Linked DNA regions of Stegostoma tigrinum. The main gene of each other region encodes a partner of the protein of the gene in region 2 in a complex. Links are inferred from orthologs where the notes say so. Each region holds a gene or a part of one and is shown on either strand. Other genes may lie near its edges. The genes, in order: ADP-ribosylation factor-like protein 8B-A and plekhm2.

The links.
Region 1: the proteins of plekhm2 (region 2) and ADP-ribosylation factor-like protein 8B-A are in contact, whole or in part, in a crystal structure (PDB 8JCA), measured with the Homo sapiens proteins. The link is inferred for Stegostoma tigrinum from reciprocal best matches to the Homo sapiens genes PLEKHM2 and ARL8B. Residues at the interface, in NP_055979.2 of Homo sapiens: His70, Phe71, Thr72, Arg73, Arg74, Glu75, Glu103, Ser105, Glu107, Ser108, Tyr109, Arg111, Leu112, Glu115, Glu147, Phe148; in NP_060654.1 of Homo sapiens: Glu22, Thr52, Val53, Gly54, Phe55, Asn56, Met57, Lys68, Trp70, Arg77, Phe78, Arg84, Tyr85, Arg87, Gly88, Val89.

Annotation. Positions count from the first base shown.
Region 1 is NC_081371.1:14,231,967-14,243,373, forward strand, and holds the start of ADP-ribosylation factor-like protein 8B-A, read right to left. Parts: upstream 4,483-11,407; 5' UTR 4,364-4,482; coding exon 4,235-4,363; intron 1-4,234. UniProt on the Homo sapiens protein: Small GTPase which cycles between active GTP-bound and inactive GDP-bound states.
Region 2 is NC_081381.1:31,745,485-31,757,187, forward strand, and holds the start of plekhm2 (pleckstrin homology domain-containing family M member 2), read left to right. Parts: upstream 1-6,304; 5' UTR 6,305-6,418; coding exon 6,419-6,478; intron 6,479-11,703. UniProt on the Homo sapiens protein: Plays a role in lysosomes movement and localization at the cell periphery acting as an effector of ARL8B.

The DNA.
Region 1 (11,407 bases), on a different chromosome or scaffold from region 2:
GTTTTGTTCCTTCTCTTACGCTTCACAGTACTTACATACAACTGAATGGTTTGCTCAACCATTTCAGATGGCATTGGGTCTGGAGTCACACGGCCAGAGCAGATAAACACAATACATCTCCTTTTCTTAGGAACCATACGAAATTGAAAGAGGAGTAGGCCATTCAGCCCCTCAAGCCTGCTCCACCATTCAACAGAATAGCTGTTCCGGCATACTTCACTTTCCTGGCCTTGCCCGTAACCCTCAATTCCCTGACTGATCAAGAATCTATCCATCACATCCTTAAATATACACAAGGACTCTGCCCCCAAAACTCTGTGGCAAGGAGTTCCAAAGATTCTCAATTTTCAGAAGAAACTCCTCTTCATCTCAGTATTAAATTGGTGCCCTTTTATTCTGAGACTATGGCCTTTTTTGTAAAAGAAATCATTTTTTTGTGGGATGTGGGTGTCACCGACGAGCAAGCATTTATTACTCATCCCTAGTTGCCCTTGAGAAGGTGGTGGTGAGCTGCCTTCTTGAGCCACTACATTCCTCCTGCCGTGGGTTGACCCACAATGCCATTAGAGAGGGAATCCAGTGACAGTGAATAATTGGCAATATATTTCCAAGTCAGGATGGTGAGTGGCTTGGAGAGGAACTTGAAAACAGTGGTGTTCCCATGTATCTGCTGCCTTTGTCCTTATAGGTGGAAGTTGTCTTGGCTTTGGAAGGTGCTGTCTAAGGATCTTTGGTGAATTTCTGCAGCGCATCTTGTAGCTAGTACACACTGCGGCTACTGAGCATCAGTGGTGGAGGGAGTAGATGTTCATCAACATAATGCGAATGAAGTGGACTGCTTTTTCTGGATGGTGTCAAGCTTCTTGAGTGCTGTTGGGGATGCACTCATCCAGGCAAGTGGGGAGTATTCCATCACACTCCTGATTTGTACTGTGTAGATGTTGGACAGGCTTTCAGGAGTCTGGTGGTGAGTTACTGCTAGTCTCTGACCAGCTCTTGTAGTCATTGTGTTTATGTGGTGAGTCCAGTTAAGTTTCTGATCAATGGTAATTCCCACGATATTGATAGAGGGCGTCTGAGATTCTCTTATGATAGGAAACATCCTCTCAGTATTTATTCTGTCAAGCCCCTTAAGAATCCTACATGTTTCCCCAAGATCACCTCTCATTCCTGTAAACGCCACGATTGAATCCCAAACTGTTTAGCCTTTGCTCATAAGACAGTCCCTCCATACCAGGGAGCATCCTTGTAAACCTTCTCTGAATTGCCTCCAATCTTTCCTTAAATACAGGACTATAAACTGCTCACAGTACCTCAGATGTGATTTCACCAGCAACTTGTACAGTTGCAGTAAGACTCCCCTACTCTTATTCTCCAACCTCCTTGAAATAAGGGCCAAGATTCCATTAACCTTTATGATTACTTGCTGCGTTGGTGTGTTAGCTTTCTGTGCTTCATGCACAAGTACCTCAAGGTCCTTTTTTTGCAGCTTTCTGCTATTTTTGTCCATTTAAATAATTCTGTTCTTTTGCTGTCCCTTCCAAAATGAACTTTGCATCCTCCCACATTATTTGCCATTTGCCAACTTTTTGTCCTCTTACTTAACCTGTCAATAACTCTCTGTAAACTGTTGAATCCCTCGCACAGCTTGTCTTTCCTCCTACTTGTGTCATCTGCAAATCTGGCAACAGTACATTCACTTCCTTCCTTCAAGTCATTAACATATATTGTAAACAGGTGGAGTCCTAGCACTGATCCCTATGGAATGCCATTGGTCACTGGTCACCAACACAAGAATAAACCCGTAATCCCTACTCGTTATTTCCTGCCCATTAGCCAATTCTCAAGACATGAGAGACATCAACAAGTTTCATAGTCAACGTTACACTCGCTTTAAATTCCAGATTTATTGATTGATTTCAAATTTCACCATTTCCCACGATGGAATTCAAACTCTTGTGCCCAGACCATCTGCCTGAAATTTAGGATTACAAATCCAGTGAAATTATCACCACATCATCATCTTCCCTGTACAGGTAGAAAGAAATTTGAAACCAACGTTAAAAACTTGAAAATAACTATGTGGCATAACAGACAGCCAAGGAATGTTAGGCGGTACATGGCACCTGATTTGAATGAGAAATAGGCAGCTGAGTTTTGGATGACCTCACGTTTACAAAGAGTGCAAACCAGGAGGCTAGCCATTATTGGAATAGTTGATTCTAAAGGTAACAAAACTGTGGTTGAAAGTTTCCACAGCAGATAGGCCAAGGAAAGACTGAAAATGGTTGAAGTTAGATGCACAAGTAGGTGATTGTGAACAATCTAGTTCAAGTTCACACAGTTCCCAAGGAAAGGGATGGAGTCAATGAGTAGGGAGCAGAGTTTTTGTTGGACATCGAATGTCCAAGGTTCCCAATATTCAGTTGGCAGGAAATTCTATTCATCCAACAGGAAAACGATGGATCTCATGAAGAGTTCCATCTGCAACTTGATTTGTTCTTGAGTATTACTGAAAGGCACAATGTAAATGAGATATTGGAGGGAACTGTGGACAGATCCTTGGTGGACACTTGGATGGAAGGGAAATCAATGTTGATCATTCTCCAGTGGTGATTGAATAATTAGCAATGGAACCAAGTGATGACAATCCCACACAATTGGATGTTCTCAGGCAAGATGTTGGAAGAGAATGGTGTGTGGTTAACCATGTTAAAATGGCAGCAGGCAATGAAAAGGGATTGATTTACGCTTGTCACAATCAGAATCAAACAGGTTTACAACCAGATAGCTGTCTTTCACTTAGCTGATGAGTCAGCATCCCCAGAGAGGCTGGTGAAAAGTAAATGACTGGTCAATGCAAGAAGACAGAATGTGCTGTAGTGGTTTTGGAAATAAATACTGGAAATATTTGGAGGTCAGGTGGCAATCAGAAGCAAATAGGAAAAACATTTTAGGGCTTATGACCATTTTTCTCAACCAGACTGGGAGCTGATGAACTTATTGCATTATTTCTATTGAAAATTAAAGGACACAATTGCCTTTGGGGGCTAACTCTCTTTAAAAATAAACACCCATTTTAAAATACAGGAATGCAGAAAGGTATTCCAAAATGGATAGAAGTTCTGCATCTGAAGGCAAATATGGATTTTTGAGCTTTTTCAAAACATCATTTTCTGAGTTTTACAGTACTGCAGTAACTATTCTGTCCAATGACAATCTATACTTAACACAAGAGGCAAGCTTTCTCTTAACTTGCTTGGCAAACAACTATGAATTACATAAAATCATAATCGCACAGGAGGAAATAAAGTTGTTTTTTTTATTTTAAATTACAGCACGAAGAATGTTTTTCATTCTCTCCTTGACATCCAGCTGCAATTCTATAAAGAATCGCAGAAATCTCTAAGTTTGCGAGGAGGCGGAGATGGTAGGGAAAAAACAAGGTTGTCAAAAATTAAAATCACTGAAAAAAACAGAAAAAGTACTTTTAGCTATTGAAAGAGGACACAGTGCAAATGATCATTTTGAAAGTATCACCCCAGAATTTATAATTAACAATTATTGGTGATGTTGCTAACCAGTTATACATGTGAATGATTGACACAACTTGTTATCTCCTGGGAAGGGATTGTGCAATATCAGGTGACTCATCAGTTGGACCATACATGATAGCACAATGTATATGTGTACATACACAGACGTACAAACACACACAAATAAAATGATGTTATCACATTAGCGATGGGTGGGGTGCTGAGCAAGGAAAGGTACATCTTCATACACTAAAAGCTGGAAATAATATAGACTGACATGGGCATAAACAGTAAAGCACCATAACATGCAATCATTGGCAGGAAATGATGATAAGGCCGTTTCCAGGAGGGATCTAGTAGGAGCATATATAACTGAGAGGAGCAGGGCAGCTCTTCACTGACGCCCGAGCTGGGTACCCAAGCCTGAAAGGCCGCTGAGACAGAAGGGAGTACAGCGCTTCCCATCCAAGCCTCAGCTCTCCGTAAGCTTTCCGTTTTAACACCAAGTGCTTTCGCTGGTAAAGGGTGGAGGGGGAGGTGAAGAAAGAGGGAGAGGCTGTGCCCTAAAGTCAGGGCCTGCTTCCCGTCCTGGTGGTCAAAGGTGACTGATAAGTGATGAATAATGATAGTGACAATAATTAATAAACACACAATGAAACACTTAGGCACTGGTTCATGGTTAAGTAGATTCACTGTACCGCGATCACATTCACAAACGTCGTCTTGCCCGAGTACTGCAGCCCGACCAGGGTCAGCTCCATCTCCTCCTTCCAGAACAGGGACTTAAACCAGTCCAACAACTTATTAATCAGCACCAACATGCTCATCTTCTCTGGCTCCAGCTCTCCACTTCCTGCTGCTCTACCAGTTCAGCTTCAGCTTGCCTTATGTCTGCAGCTCCGCAGCCGGTGATCATATGACAGCTGAGCAAGGGAAGAGCGTAACATCAGCTGCCCAGTGAAAGGGAGGGCTATGTGTCCAAATGTCAACGCTTTAGGCACACTCCCAGAGCCACGATAAGGGAGCAGCTTGAAATAAATGGAGTAAAGAGACTCTAAAGAACTGAAAGCAGGTGCATATTTTTTAATGAATCGTTAAACAATGGAAAGCATAATCCATGCATTAAAAAAAACCGAAGGAGATTTTCATTTACTTATGTGTAAATGTGTCAACTGTTCACCTCGGTCGGAAGGTTGAGTTTATTCAAGAGGTATGAGCACATAATCTAGACTGGCATTCCAACTGCAGGGCGGGGGGACTGCTGCACTATCAGAGATGCCACTTTCTGGGGAGATGTTAAACCAAGACACAGTCTGCTCCCTCAGCTCAATCAAAGATTCCATCACTATGAGTTAAAGAAACCACAGGGCCTGTCCCCTGTCACTCAAACAACATCACTAAAACAGGTTGTTAGGTTATTTGCCTCACCGCTGACTATGGGGGCAGTGCACACTGCATTTCCTACATTGCAATGTCTACCTTATTAAGCATCTCGTTAACTGTAAGTGCTTCAGATATTATGGAATCATTCAGCATTGGAAGCCATTCAGCCCTACTTGCACGAGCCTTTTCAAAGACCATTCCAGGTGGTTGCACATAATATATGGGTCTGAAAGGGTTAACTCTGAGGCCAGCTATAAACACCACCCACTATGATAGTTGCAAATGGATTTGTGGGCAAAACAACTTAGAAAGAGTTAAAGGAGTTGCCTCTAATGTCTGGTCCTCCTCAAAATCTCTGAAACAATAGCTATCATTCTCAATGTAACCTATACCTGAAGATTGCTGTGAAAATTTCATGCCTTATCTTTTGTACTGATGTGCTGGGCTCTTCCATTAATGAGGATGGGGATGTTTGTGGAGCCTCCTCCTCCAGTGAGTTGTTTAATTTTCCACCACCATTCACAAATGGATGTGGCAGGACTTCAGGGCTTAGATCCAAACTATTAGTTATGCTAGCTCTGTCTATCACTTGCTGTCCAAGCCTTTTGGTGTGCAGGGAGCCCTGTTTTGTAGCTTCACCAGTTTGACACCTCATTTTTAGGTTTGCCTGGTGCTGCTCCTGGCATGCCCTCCTGCACTCTCCATTGAACCAGAGTTGATTCCACCATCTTAAATAAAAACCCAAAGAACTGCAGATGCTGTAAATCAGTAGCAAAAACAAAGTTGCTGGAAAAGCTCAGCATCTGTGAAGGAAAAAAACAGAGTTAGCGTTTCAGTTCTGAGGAAGGTTTCCGGACCCGAAACGTTAACTTTGTTTTTTCCTTCACAGATGCTGCCAGACCTGCAAAGCTTCTCCAGAAACTTTGTTTTTGATCCCCTGGCTTGATGGTAATGGTTGAGCGGGGGTTAAGCTGAGCCATGAGGTTGCAGATTGTGCTTGAGTACAATTCTAATGCCGTTGTTGGCCCACAGCACCTCATGTATTCCAGTCCTGACATGCTAGATCAGTTCAAAGTCTGTCCCAGTTATCATAGTGATAATGCCACACAGCATGATGGAGGATATTCTCAACGTGAAAGCAGGACTTCGTCTCCATAAGGACTGTGCATTGGCCACATCTACCGATGCTGTTGTGGGCAGAACCACCTGCAGCCAGAAGATTGGTAACGATGAGGTCAAGTATGATTTTTTTTTCTCTCTCTTGTTGGTTCCTGCCCCACCTGCAGCAGCCCAGTCTTACAGCTAGCTCCTTCAGAACACGATGAGCTCAATCAGTAGCTGAGACATTCTAGGTGATGGATATTGAAATTCCCCACCCAAAGTGCATTTTCTGCCTTTGCCACCCTCCAGTGTTGTACAACATGGAGGAGTACTGATTCATCAGCCGAGGGAAGACAGTATGTGATAATCAGCAGTAGGTTTCTTTGCCCATGTTTAACCTGAAGCTACATGAATTCAAAGGGGTTCGGAGTCAATGTTGGGGACTCTAGGGTAACTCCCTCCCAACTATGCAACCACCTCTGCTGGGAGTCTCTTGCCGATGGGTCAGGATACATCCAAGGATGGTGATGGTGGTGTCTGGGACATTGTCTGTAAAGTATAATTCTGTGAGTATGACTGTTTCACCCTGTTGCTTGATTAGGCTGTGAGACAGCTCTCACAATTATGGCACTAACCCCTAGATGTTGGTAAGGAGGAATATGCAAGGCTGTTTCTGCCATTGCCTTTTCTGGTGCTTAAGTTGATGCCAGGTGGTCCACCTGCTTTCATTTCTTTGTTGAGACTTTGTAGCAATTGATACAACTGAGTAGCTTGCACAACCATTTCAGAGGGAAGTTGACAATCAACCACAATGTTGTAGATTTGGAGTCACAGATAGGCCAGACCAGATGGGGATGTCAGATCTCTCACCCTAAAGGACATTAGTGAGCCAAATTTTTTTTTTGGGCAGTTGATAATGGTTATGTGGTCGTCATTAGATTCTTAATTCCAGAGGTTTTTAATTGAATTCGAATTCCACCAATTGCCATGGCAGGATTCAAACTCGGGTCCCTCGAATATTAGTTGAGTTTTTGGATTAATAGTCTAGAGACAATACATTAGGCCATCACCTAAAGATAATCCCTGCTGAAAGTTTCCTTACATTTTCACACAATCTCCACAGCACTCATTCAATTTAAAAATAATTTTGATTCTAAGAAAGATTTTTCAAACTGGTGACAAACAATAGTCTCTTACAATCTCAGGGAGGGAAAAGAACAATGTCTCCAAGTTTTCATTGGATGAACATAATTTTCCTACTTCTTCAATTTAGATTTTATTTACAACCTTCTCCCAGAGTGATCCTTCTAGAAATTCCATTCAGATCAAGCAAAGCAATTGAGTCCAAAAACTGAAACATGTATTTTATCATGAACTATCCTTGAGTCAATTTTCCTGCAGTTTGTATAGGGATATTTTCACACACGTTAAACACGCAACAGCTTTAAAACATACACGACCCGATATAAAACTGAAACTTAATACATTCTGCTGGGTCTCAAATGGAAGACACACAAAGAGCAGGACAACCTTGTAGAAAAGCACAAAGACAAAACCTATATATAAATCATTTCCCTGTTTCTTTATCCGAGAACAATCTAGGTTTCTGTGGTGTTCGCAATTTAATTCTTATAACCCTTCCCTGAGTTGTTTCTAAGTTTTATTTCATCACAGTCTTATAGAGTCATAGAGACACACAGCATGGAAATGGACCCTTCAGTCCAGTTCATCCATGCCAACCAGGTATCCCAAATTTAACTATGTTTGCCTGTGTTTGGTCCACTTCATTCTAAACCGTTCCACCTCATGTACCTGTCTTTATTGGAATTGGTGTCTCAGTGGACCTTCTGTCCACTGTTCCATTTCAGTTACTGGATTATCCACCTCTGACATCTTTATGGTCTCAGAAACAATGGGGCATAGTTTACCAGCAGTTTTTTTTGACATCACAGACCTTTGACAAAAATTTGTGTTTTTTCCACATTGTATCTTCTTATTGTCAAAACCATAGGGCACTTCTTTCACCAGAATACCTTATTTTTCTTTGATGCACCATGAAACAAACCCAGTACACCGCCACCATCAGTGTACATTAAGTAACAGAGAGGGAACAAATTTATAATTACAAGATTGAAAGTGATTAACAAAACACAAGAATGAAAAATACATTGGCTTACAGAGCTTTTGTATGTGTTTGTGTGTGTTTGTGTCTCTATTGGTTTACAGCAATTGGAGCTAATAAATAATAAACAAATTGTGGATGAAGTTTATAAATATTTTTCTTCTATCTTCACTATAAACAATACAAACCAAATCCCAATAGTACCTGTAAATCTGGAGGTTAAAGCATAAGAGGAACTTATTGTGATTATGAGCAAATTGGAAAGCCATATTTGGGGTCACAACAGTTCAGTCACTCACTTGTATGCTGACTTCCCTTTGACACTGCTAAATGTGATCTGTGCCACCAGTGTTGCTGATGGGATGGAGACTGAAGACTCAACTCCTCATTCTACCAAGGAAATTGGTTCCATACTTTGTCTACTGAACTATTAACACATATAGAATAGAGAGGAGCCATAAGACTATAAGGCATAGGAGTGGAAGTAAGGCCATTCGGCCCATCAAGTCCACTCCGCCATTTAAATCATGGCTGATGGGCATTTCAACTCCACTTCCCTGCCCTTGATTCCTTCTGAGATCAAGAATTTGTCGATCTCTGCCTTGAAGACATCCAATGTCTGGCCTCCACTGCACTTGAGCCCTGAGTGCACAACAAGCCATACACACAATAGCAGCTGTTGCACTAGACAGTCATCACATTTAGTGTTGGGATGACCAGTGTTGGTCATGGATCAAAAAAGAAGAGATATGGCCATCCATGGAGTTGTAGACCAGCAGAGATAGTACATAGCTTGTACTAACAAAGTGGGTTCACATAGGGACTCTAAGAACCTTGTCGCACTGCGGGTTAATTGTCTACCGTTGATTGATTAGCAAACCAAATAAGCAACTTAACCAATGAGCTGACCCAAAAATCTCAGTTGGTCAGGAAAAGAATCAAAGTCAATGGTCCTCTACCCAGCTAACTACGAGTCCTCCAAACCTGATGAGAATGTGTTTGGGTGAATAGAGAAAGCTCAAATTGCCTAAATTTGTAACGTTACAGTTTTTTTTTCTGGGGGGTGGTGGGTGAGGTGGGCAGCTGTAAATGGAATTATATATGCAATGGTATAAATTAATAATGAGAAGAAAAAGTTTAGGAAGAGATGCATATGTGTTTAAATTGGTATGACAGGATTTTAAAAAATTAATCAGCCTGTTGAGATTTGTGGAGGAGAGGAGTGCCATAGGATGTTAATGTCTTATACATTTGTCAGATAAGAATCTCAAAGAAGCTGAACCTAACATGTGGCCCTCCTCAATTCTCTGTAACAATGTCTATTATATACTAATGTAATCTGCAATCAGTTGTTCACTTGCAAAAAACTATCTTTTGTTAATTAAATCAGACTCTTGTAGTTAAACTGGTAATCAATGAACAGAAGACATTTCGAAGCTCAAAGGGACAGAGAGATCTTGCGTTGCTTGTCCACAGATCCTTGAAAGTGCCAGAATTAGTTAACAAGTTTGTTAAGAAGGCATATGGAAGGCTTGCCTTTATCAGTCATGCCATAGATTATAAACGCAAGGACGTCATGTTGGAGCTGTGCAAAACTTTGGTTGGGTCACAGCTGGAGTACTGTGTGCAGTTCTAGCCAACACACGATAGGAAGGATGTGATTGTGCTGTCAGGCTTGCAAATGAGATTCACCAGCATGTTGCCTGGAATGGAGCATTTCAGCTGCAAAAAGAGGCTAGATAAGCCTGGGTTGTTTCTTTGGAGAAGAGAAAGTAAAGTGGAGACCTAATATAAGTCTGTACCATTATGAGGGGCATGAATAAAGTGAATAGAAAGCACCTGTTTCTCTTAGTCGAATAACAAGGTTCCAATAGGGGCTCTTGTGGTGTAATGGTAATATTCTTATCTCTGAGTCACAGTGGCTTGGATTCGAGGCCCACCTGCTCCAGAGATACGTAATAGCATCGCTACACAGGTTGATTAGAAGAATCTAACAACGGGACATAATTTTAAAGGAGAAGGCAGAAGGTTTAGAAGGGATTTGAAGAAAACATTCTTACCCAAAGGTTGGTGAGGTTCTGGAATGCATTGCATGGAATGGTCATTGAGGCGGGAAAACTCACAACCTTTAAAAGCACTTGGATGAGCACTTGATTTGTCATAGCATTCAAGGCTCTGGGCCTAGTGTGAGAAGATGGGACTAATGTAGGTAATAGTATATTTTTGGCAGTATAGACTTAATGGGCTGAAGGGTCTCCTCTGTACTGTATAATTTTACAGACCACCAAGCAGCTGCTGTCATTTACTGAAACTGGAAGAGGTGGGTCTGAGCAAGTGAGTTTATGAGCAACCCCTTGTACAATGTAATGTGCTTGTCTATCCATGCATCAGCACTCACTCACTTTCTCCATTGATCCCTGCATTTTCTCCCCATTAACAGCTTGTTCAATTCTATTTTGAAAGCTTCTACTGAACCTGTCGCCATCACCCAAACTGGCGGTGCATTCCAAATTTTAGCCATTCTTTGTGAAAAACTTTTCCTCAGGTCATTTTGGGTTTTTGTTTTGCATTGCACAATAAATCAGTGCCAGTTGGCCATCTGCCCTTGCTATCATTGCAAACAGTTTCTCTTTACTTACTTGAAATAAACCCTTCATGACTTGAAACAACTCTTTCCAACTTCCTTCTAACCTTTTGTGTTAAAAATGGAATAACCACAGTATCACCAGTCTTCATGTATTTGTTAAACCTTATCTTTGAAATCATTGTCGTAAAATTCATCTGTATCCTTTCCAAAGCCTTCATAGCCTTCTTGCAATACTTCAGCTGAAGCTGAACTAACATTCTAATTAAGTTTAGCAAATATTCTAGGCTTTTGGATTTGGCTTTTAAATTCCAAAGATACTCAAAGATGCCAGGGCTTACTGTCCTGCATTTCTATGGAAAACGTCAGTGAGATAGCTTCCTTAAAAGGATACAGTAATATTCAGGATTCTCATTTAAAAAAAGGCACTCAGAAGAATTGTGTAGGGCTACACATAGGAATATATGCAAAATGTCTTCATTTACCTTATAGCCAGTCCACCCCAAGAAGAGAAGGTATATTGAGAGAATTTTCAAACAAACACAATACAGAAAAATCTCTTATTGAAACCCAGTTTTCTTTTCCAATCGATGTACATCTCATAAGTTCTTTTTTTTTCAAAAGAATGTCAACAATTGAGATTGTTTGTCTCAGAATATCTTAAAAATCATGTGTTTTCTA
Region 2 (11,703 bases):
CAAGTCTGGGCATTACATTTTTGGGAAGGGTGACAGGGTCCTAGAGATGGTACAAAGATGATTTATCAAATGACATCAGGGGAGGATGGTGGCATAAAAGTAATATCATTGGACAAATAATCCAAAGGTCCAGGCTAGTACTGTAGTGACAAATTCAAATCCAACCAGAACTGATGCAACTTATTCAATAAATTTGGAACTGAAAGCTAATTTCACAGAAGGTCATGACACTTATCACTGATTGTTGTAACAACCCATCTGGGTTACTATATGCACTCGCCAGTGAAGGTTGCAGAATAGTAATGGCCCCACCTCTGAGCTAGCAGGCCCAGGTTCAAGTCCCAGCTTCTCCAGAGATATGTCACAACACTTTTGCAGGTTAATCAATAGTATGTATGCACACACCATCCTGACTTGGAAATATATCCCTGTTCTTTCAGTGTCACTGGGCCAAAATCTGGGAATTTCTCCCCTCATTATATCACTGGTTTACTGACATGAAATGAACTGCAGCAGTTCAAGAAGACAGCTCACCACCACCTTCTCAAGAGAAACTAGGGACAGCCAGAGTGCCCACATTCCCTGAATAATTAAATAAATGACTAGCATCGTTAGGGAAGGAATCTTCCATCCTCATCTGGTCTAGCCTGTTATAGTTTCAAATCCCGTGAGTGCTACTATCTTAAAATTGACCATTCCTCCTCACTGTCCCCATGTTATAAATGTCAGATATGAGATGTGGCCACTAATCCTTCTTGTTGGTATGCTTTGTTTATTGATACCATGCGGGAAGGGTGCCCACACGCATCTGAGACAGTAAATAAGTTCAATCTTGAAGAAGAGTAATTAAATTTATTATATATTGGCTAGCTACATTTTGTTTAAGACATAGGACTGCCTGTTGTGGTTAATCAAAATATAGGAGCAGGAATAGGCCATTCAGCCCTTTACCTGCTCCAACATTCAATATGATCATGGCTGATCATCTAACTCAGTTCTCAGTTTAAGTTTTCACTCCATACCCTTTGATCCCTTTAGCCTTAAGAACTACATCAAACTTCTTCTTGGAAACACTCACTGTTTTGGCCCCAGCCACAGAATTTCACACTCACCACTCTCTGAGTGAAGAAATTTCTCCTTTTCTCAGTCCTAAATGGCCTCCTCCCATACCCTTATATTGAGTTTCCTAGTTTTGAAATTCTCTGTTATTAGTACTATCCTTCCAGCAGTTATCTTGTCGAATCCTATTAGAAACTTATAAAATTCTGTGAGATCCTCCCTATTCTTTTAAACTCCAGTGAATATAGTCCCAATCAATTCAATCTGTCTCCCTACATCAGTCCTACCATCCCAGGAATCAGGCTGGCAAACCTTTGTTGTGCTCTCTTCAAAGACAGAACACCCTTTCCCAGATGAGAATAAAACCTTACATAGTACTCTACGTGTATCTCACCAAGGCCCTGTACAGTTACAGCAAGGCATCCCTAATCCTGTATCAGACTCACCTTAAGTGTAAGCTTCTGATACCACTACACTATTAATACTAATACATTTGCACACAGCATTGACAACAAGCGCAGAAGCACACAGGGAACCAGTTATCCCCTCCCAGGATGTCCTTTATATCCTGATGAGTGCAGCCTATCTCATAATGTCAGTCAATCCTTTCAGGTCCTAATACATGGTCCACATGTGACTCCAGATCCACAGCAACGACTCTTAACTGCCCTCTGAAATTCAGCAAGCCACTCAGTTCAAGGGCAATTAGTGATAGACAACAAATGCTTGCCTTTCTCGTAACATCTCTATCCCATGGAAGATTAAAAAGATAAAGAAAGGTAAAGTCTGCTAATGCTAATTGGATACTGCAATGTAACAACACAGGAAGTGATGCAACTTCACATGACCTTGTCTCTCGCAGTCTTAAGGAGGGATGAAGCTGCAGTAAGAAAAATAAAATTAAATAAATTGAATGCTTTCCTTGCTTCATAAGATTGCAAATACTCTTTGGGATCAAAATGAGACAAAGAATATTATAGGTATAAGGGATGAAGAAGCTCACTCTCCTTTTCATTAAAATGATTGGCACAAAATAACTGAAGGTAATGTGAGGAAAAACATTTTTAACGCAATGGGTGATTAGCCTATGTCTGTGGTGGAACAGGTTGAATCATAACTTTCAAAAATTAATTGGGCAATTAAATGAAGTGAAATATTTTAAGATCTTCAGGGAAAGGTGAAGTGAGTGCAATTAGTTCAGTTGCTGTGTAGAGAAATGGGAAGGACATGAAGGCAGAATGACTTCTTTCTGTGCTAAAGCTATTCTATTATTTTTGAAGGATAAAGCTGGATAGAATATAATGTGTCAATTGTATTGAATTTTCAATGGTTAGGTTGCATATGCAATCACATCTTTTGTTTCCAAGGTTTACCTTGAAGAGACAAATATATCACTGTCCATTCTGGCCTTCTACACACACTGTTAGGGTGTCTTCGTTTAAATTTATGGGTTTGAAGACAATTTAAGGAATCAAAGGCTATGGGAAAAAAGTAGGAATATGACATTGAGACAGAAGATTAGCCATGATAATATTGAATAGTAGAAAAAGTTTGATGGGCTAAATGACCTACTCCTCCTATTTTCTATGCATGGGTTTTGATTCTTGCCTCGAGGCCAATATTTCAAAATTTGGACAGTAGCAACTTGTTCATCCCAATGAACAGCAGCAAAAACTCCATTATGTGACAGGACTTTCACCCTTGCGTTTTTTTGGCTACAAAAGTGTTTTTCAGACTGGAGGTCTGTAACTACCGGTGTTCCATAGGGATTGGTGCTGGGTCCACTTTTGTTTGTTATTTATATAAATGATTTGAATGAGAATTTAACGGGATAGTTAATTAGTTTGCGGATGACACCAAAATTGGTGATGTAGCTGACAGTGAAGAAGGTTATCCAAGATTACAAGGAGACCTTGATCAATTGGGCCAATGAGCGGAGGAGTTTAATTTGGATAAATACCAGGGATTGCATTTTGGTAAAACAAATAAAGGTCAGGACTTGTACTGTTAAGGGAAGGGACATGGGTAGTGTTGTCGAACAGAGAGACATAGGGGTTCAGGTAGATAAAGCTGCGTCACAGATAAACAGGGTGTTCAGAAGGCATTTAGCACACTTGCTTTCATTGCTTAGAACATGAGTATATGAATTGGGATGTCTTGTTGAGGTTGTACAAGACACTGGTAAAGCCTCTTCTACAATACTGTGTCCACTTCTGGTCACCCTGTGAAAATTGGAGAGGGTGCAGAAAAGATTTACCAAGCTGCTGCTGGAACTGGAGGGTTTGGTTTATAAGTAGAGGCTGCATAGGTTGGGTTTTTTTTCCCACTGGAGCATAGGAGGTTGAGGTGTGCCCCTACTGAGGCTTTATAGAGTCATGAGGGTCAAAGATAAAGTGAATAGCAATGGTATTTTTCCTTAGGTGGGCAAGCTCAAAACTATGTGTCATAATTTTAACAAGAGGAAAAAGATTTAAAAGGGACCTGCAAGGCAATGTTTTCACACAGAAAGTGGTTTGTATATGAAATGAACTGGCAGAGCAAGTGGTAGACGTGGGTACAATTACCATATTCAAAAGACATTTGGAGAGGTGCATGAATAGGAAAGGTTTAGAGGGATATGGGCCAAATGCAGGCAATTGGAGCCAGTTTAGTTTGGGAAAACTTGATTGGCATGGACAAGTTGAACTGAAGGGTGTGTTTCTGTGCTGTATGATTCTATTACTCAATGGCCATCCGACTCCACCCACCCTCATCTCACCTGTCCACCCAGCCACTTGTGGACCTCTGAACCTCTTTGGCCATTCAATAAGATCATGGTCAATCTGAATACTCCACATTCCCACCTAACCCCAGCAATCTTTCCTTCACCCCTCGCTTAGCAAGAATTGATATATCCCTGCTTTAAAAGTATTCAGAGATTCTACCTCCACTGCCTTTTCCAGGAAGTGAGTGCCAAAGACTCACCACCGTCTCCAAAAAAAAGTTGAGTCCTCATCTCTGACTTAAATGGACGAACCCTTACTTTAAACAGTGATCCATCATTCTAAGAGCTCATGAAGTACGAACGACTTCTAGAAAATGTTTCAACACCAGTTTGTTACAGACTGTGGGTCTTTCCTTGGCTTCAGCAGACAGTGATACTTATTCACTGCCATTCTGCTGCATTCAGCTTTCAAGACCATCACAAGGCAAGTAACATAATCAAATGGTGGGCCAGGCTCCTGAAACTAACCAGAATATAACTTGTTATAATCATGGTTTCATATTCTGAAACATTGAGTGAAGATCAGCTTGGTGAGGTATGCAAGGAATTTCAGCAAAAGTAGTGTCATGCATCATGCATCATCAGTTCTGTGGAAGGGTCACTGGACCCAAAACATTAACTCTGTTTTTTCCTTCACAGATGCTGGCAGACCTGCTGAGCTTTTCCAGCAACTTTTTTTTTCATGCATCACGCACTTTCTTATGGAAAGCATGATTACGTGAGTCTCTTGCCCCTTTCAGTAGGTGATTGGCAAGGGGGTAGGCTAAACAATTTAAAGAAAAAAACTTTGGCATTCTTTTGATTGCTTTTTGGTAGTTGAACTGAATAAGGTGTGCGATTTGTTGAGTGTGGGCAGAGCTACTGCAGTTGCTACAACCGCCCTCACCCCTGGATTAAAGGGGGTAATATGATGCAGGGCTCCTGCAGCTGATGGGGACGCAGTGATCTCAGTGGAAAGGTCCTGGGTCTGTTTTCGTCACCGGCTGAAAGCCACACACAGAATGGCCACTTTGGGGGAGGTACTGAATCAGTTATTAGTATGGGTGATAATGGGAACTGCAGATGCTGGAGAATCCAAGATAATAAAATGTGAGGCTGGATGAACACAGCAGGCCCAGCAGCATCTCAGGAGCAGCCTGCTGTGTTCATCCAGCCTCACATTTTATTATCTCAGTTATTAGTATGGACCTGACTACAATTGCATTCAGGATACAGTCTGCTCATCATGCCTCGCAGTTGCTTTCAAAGGGCCGTTCTAATTCATCTCACTTCCACGTAAAAATTAGAAAAGTAGGAAACTCAGTATCAACTCAAATCCATATTTTATTAAAACAGCGCTTGATGGGAGTCTGCTATTTCAATAGCTCAATGACACCACCTGGTGTTTTACATGGGTTGATTTTTTTCTTGCCTACCCACACATAAATAATACGCCAGAACTGCAACTTCGGGACTCCGTTCAGGAGGGTACAGTAGAAATAAAACCTGCCCCTTGAGGTCAGAGATGATGGGAACTGCAGATGCTGGAGAATCCGACATAACAAAGTGTGGGGCTGGATGAACACAGCAGGCCAAGCAGCATCTCAGGAGCACAAAAGCTGACGTTTCGGGCCTAGACCCTTCTTGAGAAAGAATCAGCTTTTGTGCTCCTAAGATGCTGCTTGGCCTGCTGTGTTGGCCCCTTGAGGTTGTGGTGTGACGGGAGTCCCGCCTCTTGAGATGGTCGGAACTGCAGATGCTGGAGAATCCGAGATAACAAGGTGTAGAGCTGGACGAACACAGCAGGCCAAGCAGCATCATAGGAGCAGGAAGGTTGACGTTTCGGGTCGGCACCCTTCTTCCTAAGGAAGGGACAACATTAACCTATGCTGAGATAATAAAATGTGAGGCTGGATGAACACAGCAGGCCAAGCAGCATCTCAGGAGCAGAAAAGCTGACGTTTCGGGCCTAGACCCTCGAAACGTCAGCTTTTGTGCTCCTGAGATGCTGCTTGGCCTGCTGTGTTCATCCAGCTTCACACTTTATTATCTTGGATTCTCCAGCATCTGCAGTTCCCATTATCTCTGATACTATATTAACCTATGCTGCCTTGGTTTGCCTTCAGGCTTATTTACCCTGAAGAAGGGTTTCGACCCGAAACGTCAAACTTTCCAGCTCCTCTGATGCGGCTTGGACTTCTGTGTTCATCCAATTTCACACAGTGTTATCCCGCCCCTTGAGGTCGTGCCTAGTTGAAGTCCCGCCTCTTAAGGTCGTTGTCCAGCTGAGGTCCCGCCTCGTAAGGTCGTTGTCCAGCTGAAGTCCCGCCTCTTAAGGTCGTCGTCCCGCTGAAGTCCCGCCCCTTAAGGACAAACGGCGGAGGTAACCCCCGTGACGTCAGGCGCTTCTCAATGTCTGACGCACAGCCCGTCACTCAGAATGCAAGAGCGCGCACGCGTGGTTGTCGCTTTCGGTGATCGGGCGCGCGGTCACGTGTCGACGGGAGAGCGCGCATGCGCGCGCGCCCTAACCGGTGAGGGGAGTGAGCCGGGCGTCAGCGGCGAGCCCCGGGGCCTGGGCTGGTCTTTGCTGGTGAGGATGCTGAGGCCGCGAGTATGGAAACCCTGAAAGTGAAGGATCGGATCCTGGAGAACATCTCGCTGTCGGTGAAGCAGGTGAGAGGCTGGAGTCTGCAGCACCTTGACCGGCGGATTTAGTGCGTGTCATTACTGCCGACCCGTTTGGTCGCCCAGCGGCACTGCCTGAGACAGGGCGTTGTACAGAGCCAGGCAACAAAAAATTGGCTTCTATTTTTTTATTAGGAAGCATTCCAGTGTTGTTAGGATCGCACTGTACCATTCTGCCTGTTTTCCAGGCTAAACTGCAGACCAATGTTCGAAGTTGACAACTGCATCCACCTTTTTAATAGAGAAAAAGGGGTCTGGGATTGAGCAATCACATTGGCCTGATGAGCTGAATGGCCCTGGACTTGTTTCTCACTTCGTTGCAGGAGCCATGAAAGCGCAGCCTGCTGTGTTGTGATGCTTTGTCGTAGGTTGGTAATCTCAACGGTAATCTTTCGACAAAAAAAGCCCTTAATCAACCTCTGTAAAAATCTTACCATTTATGCGTGCATTCTCCCTCGCATAGACATTGTTTACGTTTATAACGGGCACCAGCCTTTGGCAAATAATCCTAGCTATTACCACTGAAGTGAATTGCAGAGGCGTTTATCGCAGTCTGAAGCATGGGAGAAGAACAAAAGAGAAGTACAGCCCAGAAAGAGGCCCATTGTCCTTCCAAGCCTGTACCAATCATCATGCCCTAACTAAATTTAAATAAAATCTTCTGTCCATGTCGCTCTATTCCCTCCCTATTCATGCCTCTTAAATGTCGCCAATGTGCCTGCTGTCACCACCTCTTCTAGCATTGCGTTCCACGCTCCAACCCTGGATATCCTTATCATGTTGTGATCACTCATCACAACAAACCTGTTCATTTAGTACTTCAAATTTCAAATACATAGATATATTTAATGAAAAGCAAAAGGTCAGCAGACGCTATAAATCAGAAACAAAAACATAAGTTGCTGGACAAGTTCAGTAAGTCTGGCAGCATCTGTGGAGAAAGATCTGAATTAATGGTGCAGTTGCTTTTTTAATAATACCATTTGATTTGGGCTTCTAAATGTTTTAAAATTGATTAGCAAAAAGTATTATAATGATGTATGCACCACCACCACCTCGGTGTAAACTCACATAGTTTGTCTGCCTGAAGTTATGGATAATAAACTATGGCACCAGCCCACTGGCTAGCTACAGTGGGAACTGTATTCTGTACAGATCATTTGTAATCTTGCTGAGTAGCTCCTTATTGTCTGACGTGTTTGACAGTTCTTAAATTGAAGCTCGAGTGTACTGGGCAACAGGTACTTTCAATCATGTTTCCACATTTGATTGTCTAAATTCTGTAAATTTTTGAAAGCAATGTTGATACTGGAGTACTTTCTAATCTGGACACCAATTGTCAGCATCAAGCATGTTAAGTCAAACAGCCACAGAGATCCACATCCTTTGTAATTGAATGACATTCTCTTTATCTTTTCAATGAATGAAAATTCAAACTAAAATTCAATAACTGACTTTAAAATCGTAAATTCTTCAGTGTATTGTCCAAATCCAATTTATTTTAGGAAAGAAGAAAGCGCGCCTCTTCTTTGTAGAAGTGCCTATTCAAGAATTAATATTTGGAGTAAATTCATTGTTAATCCTTTCACATATGCTAAGGAATGTAATAACTAAACATATTTAAATATTTACACACTGTACAAATGTGTTTGATCATTCTGCCACACTGTATAACTAGCAGAACAAATAGAGCAACAATTGTTATACAATGCAGAAAAGACCTCGTTTATGTTCAGCAGATCCAACAACATATTGAAGAAGTTAATTGTGGGTTCTACTAAAAGAATATTCAATAGATAAAACCCTGGTGAATTTATTTGTCACATTTTTGCCTAGGTTGCCTACTTCTGTAGAATTGGGGCTATAGTCTGAGAAATAGGGCTAAACCATTCAGGAGAAATGTTAGGATGCACTTCTACAAAGAATGGTAGTGTTTGAACTCTCTTCTACCAATGAGTATCAGTTGTTAATTCTAAACGTGAGCAAAGGTATTAAGGGATATGGGCCAAAGGCAGGTATGTGGATTTATGTTACAGATCAACCATTATTTGATTGATGGAACAGGCTCAAGAGGTTGAATGGCATTTTCCTATTCCTGTGTTTTCTAGTTGAGAGTTTTTAATTGTCCATTCTGAAAATAATTGAACTAATAAATTCCTGCTCATGATGTTGATGGTAATGCCAATTGGGCTATGTTGAACAGCATGGTTTTGTCCTTCATTGGAGCTGATGATCTTTTATGCTGTACGATACATGGGTTCTGGATTGGCAATTTGGGGTCCAGCTGATAAGTACTTTTGGTTTCAGCTTCTTGTATCTAACATTAAACTGTGTGAAGTGAGTCCTGTGGATTGTGTTGGTATTGATTGAAATCATGTCCGTTGTGCTCCTCCATGGCTGACAACCACACTGTGACCCAGGGCAGGTTCCTCAGCTACAGGGAGGATGCAGTTGGGGAGGAACTTGACGATAATTTTTCCAATAGTCGACTGCAAGGAGATTCTGCTGTAGTTACGCAGTTGGCCCTGTTCCCTTTTCTGGAAATGCTCGTGACTGTGGCATCTTGGAGCGCTCCCAGGATGCTCTCCTCCTTCCAGATAAAGCACACTAGGGCATGTAGCTGCAGCAAGAGCTTTTTGCCTCCCTACGTCAAAGCCTCAGCAGGGGTACCATGTCCACCAGAAGCCTTGCTGATCTTAGGCTGGCAGATGGCCTTCACTACTTTGTGCAGAGCTGGGGTGTTGCTGAACTTGTGGCATGTAGTAAGCTGTGGGATGCATTCGAGGATGCTCGGATCGATGACAGAGTCCTGAAAGGAAGTAACAAATGCTGCATAGTAGAGGGTGGGTTTTTACTGTGCAACAGCTGCAGGAGAAATGCAGAGAAAAGAACCTTACCCTGTACGTGGCCTCCTTTAACCGTATTGGGAAGCATCGTGGTGCGGCCTTCTCCACTTTGGTTGCACCATGGAGTTTGTCATCATCCTTTGCCTGCTCTGTGATGACATGGAAGTCATGGTAATAATAAATGGCTCCACCAGTGCATCCCCCATTCAGTCCCCAGTGTCAAGCAGGGCTACATCATCGTTCAACACTGTTCTCGATCTCCTTCGTTGCAGTGCTTCACCTCACGGCTGACAAGCTCCCCACTGGAGTGGAGCTAACTCTCAGAGCCAGCAGGAAATTGTTCAATCTCTAACACCTTCAAGCCAAACCTAAAGTCACCCCAACCACTCATCGAGCTGCAGTATGCAAATTAACGCCTGCGTATGTGCAATCTGAGGATGTGCTCCAGACCATCATCAGCACCTTTTGTGGAGGCATATGAGAGCATGAATCTCATTCTGTACATCCGCAACATGAAGGTCCTCTGCCAACCAGGCCTGGAATTGTGGAACGAATCCCCAATCATCAAGGCCCATGGGAAGGCCTTAAAACAACATTGGCCACTTCCAATACCTCCTATCGGCCAAAGCAGTTATTGTTGAAGAGATCCAGCACCACCTCCAGTCTGCTAGCGCAGTCTTTGGCTGCCTGAGGGAAAGGGTACTGGAGGACAACAACATCAGATACAACATCAAGATGCTGGTTTACAGAGCTCTGGTGGTTTCCGGCCTCCCATATGGCTCTGAGACATGGACTGTCTACAGCAGACACCTCAGGGCACTGGAGCTGTACCACCAATGCTGTTTGCGCAAGATCCTGCAAATCTGCTGGGGAAGAAAGACGCACCAATACCAGCGTCCTCAATCAGGCCAACATCCCCAACATCGAGGCACTGGTCGTGATGGACTGGGCACATCGCCTGTGTGACCAACACGAGATTCCCCAGCTTCAAAATGGCAGATGAACCCCATGTGGATAGAGGAAGCTCTTCAATGATACCCTCAAGGCCTACCTGGTGAAGTGCAGCATTCCCAGAGACACCTGGGAATTACTGGCACAAGACCATCCAGTGTGGAAGAGCAATGACCGGAAAGGCGTCAAGTTCCTCAAGGCTTACTATGGGCTGGGAGAAAGCAGAAGCCAGACGATAAAAAGAGTAAGGAGTGCACTGCCACACCAACATTCCACCCACCTTTTCCCACAACCACCCGCTGCCCCAAGTGTTTAAAAAAAGAACCTGCAAAAGCTGCATCAGTCTGTACAGCAACCTACAGACTTGCCCTGAGAGTGGAAGAGAGTTATCCTTGTCTGTAAGGGATAGCCAGTAATGTTGGTATTTATTAAATTTTTTAAAAATTAATAATGGAGTTGGGTACAGTTAACAAATTTAAAAGATATCTGGATGGCTGCATGATAGGAAAGTTTTAGAGGGGTATGGTCCAAATGCAGTCACATGGGACTTGATCAGTTTAACATATCCTGTCAGCACAGATGAGTTGGACTGAAGGGTCTGTTTCCGTGCTGTATGACTCTAACAGATACTTCACGTGTTTATGCAATGTGGAACAGATCGGGAATAAATTTCCATTTAGCGTACCACAAGATAGTCCCAGATCATTTGGTTAGATCCAACACTGCTTGATCAAGCCCTTCCGACTGTGGCATTTTTAAATGATAATCAGTTTATATGGTTCCTTTTAAATGTACTTTATTCTTGGATTTGGTTGGTCTCTGAGATGAAAATTGCTACATTTTGTTTTAGAGATGCTTGCCATCCAATAGATATTTGATTCTTCTAGTTTAAAAATACTGCAACTCTTAGCTTTGCTTACTGCCTAAGTAAAATCTACAGTGTGATGTCTAAATGTCATTGGCCTCCGGAGCTTCCATTTCAGCCCTACATTGACTATACCCCTCCTCATGGTCATACTTAAAAACAGCATTGCTGCCCATTGTTCACCCCTTCTACCAGTGGATGTGGGTAAATTTATTATGATCTACACAAACCAGCGAGGTCCTGGGTTCATTTTCTGGCCTATGCTTTGCAAGGCAGTTGTCCTTGGAAGGTGGTGAAGTCTAAGTTTTGAGCCATGTTGCTGTATATTTTTCCACTAACAATCCTACAGAGGACCCCTTGTATAATTACACATTGGAAATTGCAGACCCAGAAATGTTCAAGTAGAGCATTAACGTAGATTTGTTTTTAAAAGCAACCTGTTCTTTGATGTCATTACACACTTCTGAAGCAGGTCGGACTTGAACCTGGGCCTTCTGGTTCAAAGGTAGGGTGCTACGTCTATGGCATGAGTCATCTAAATTAACCACCAC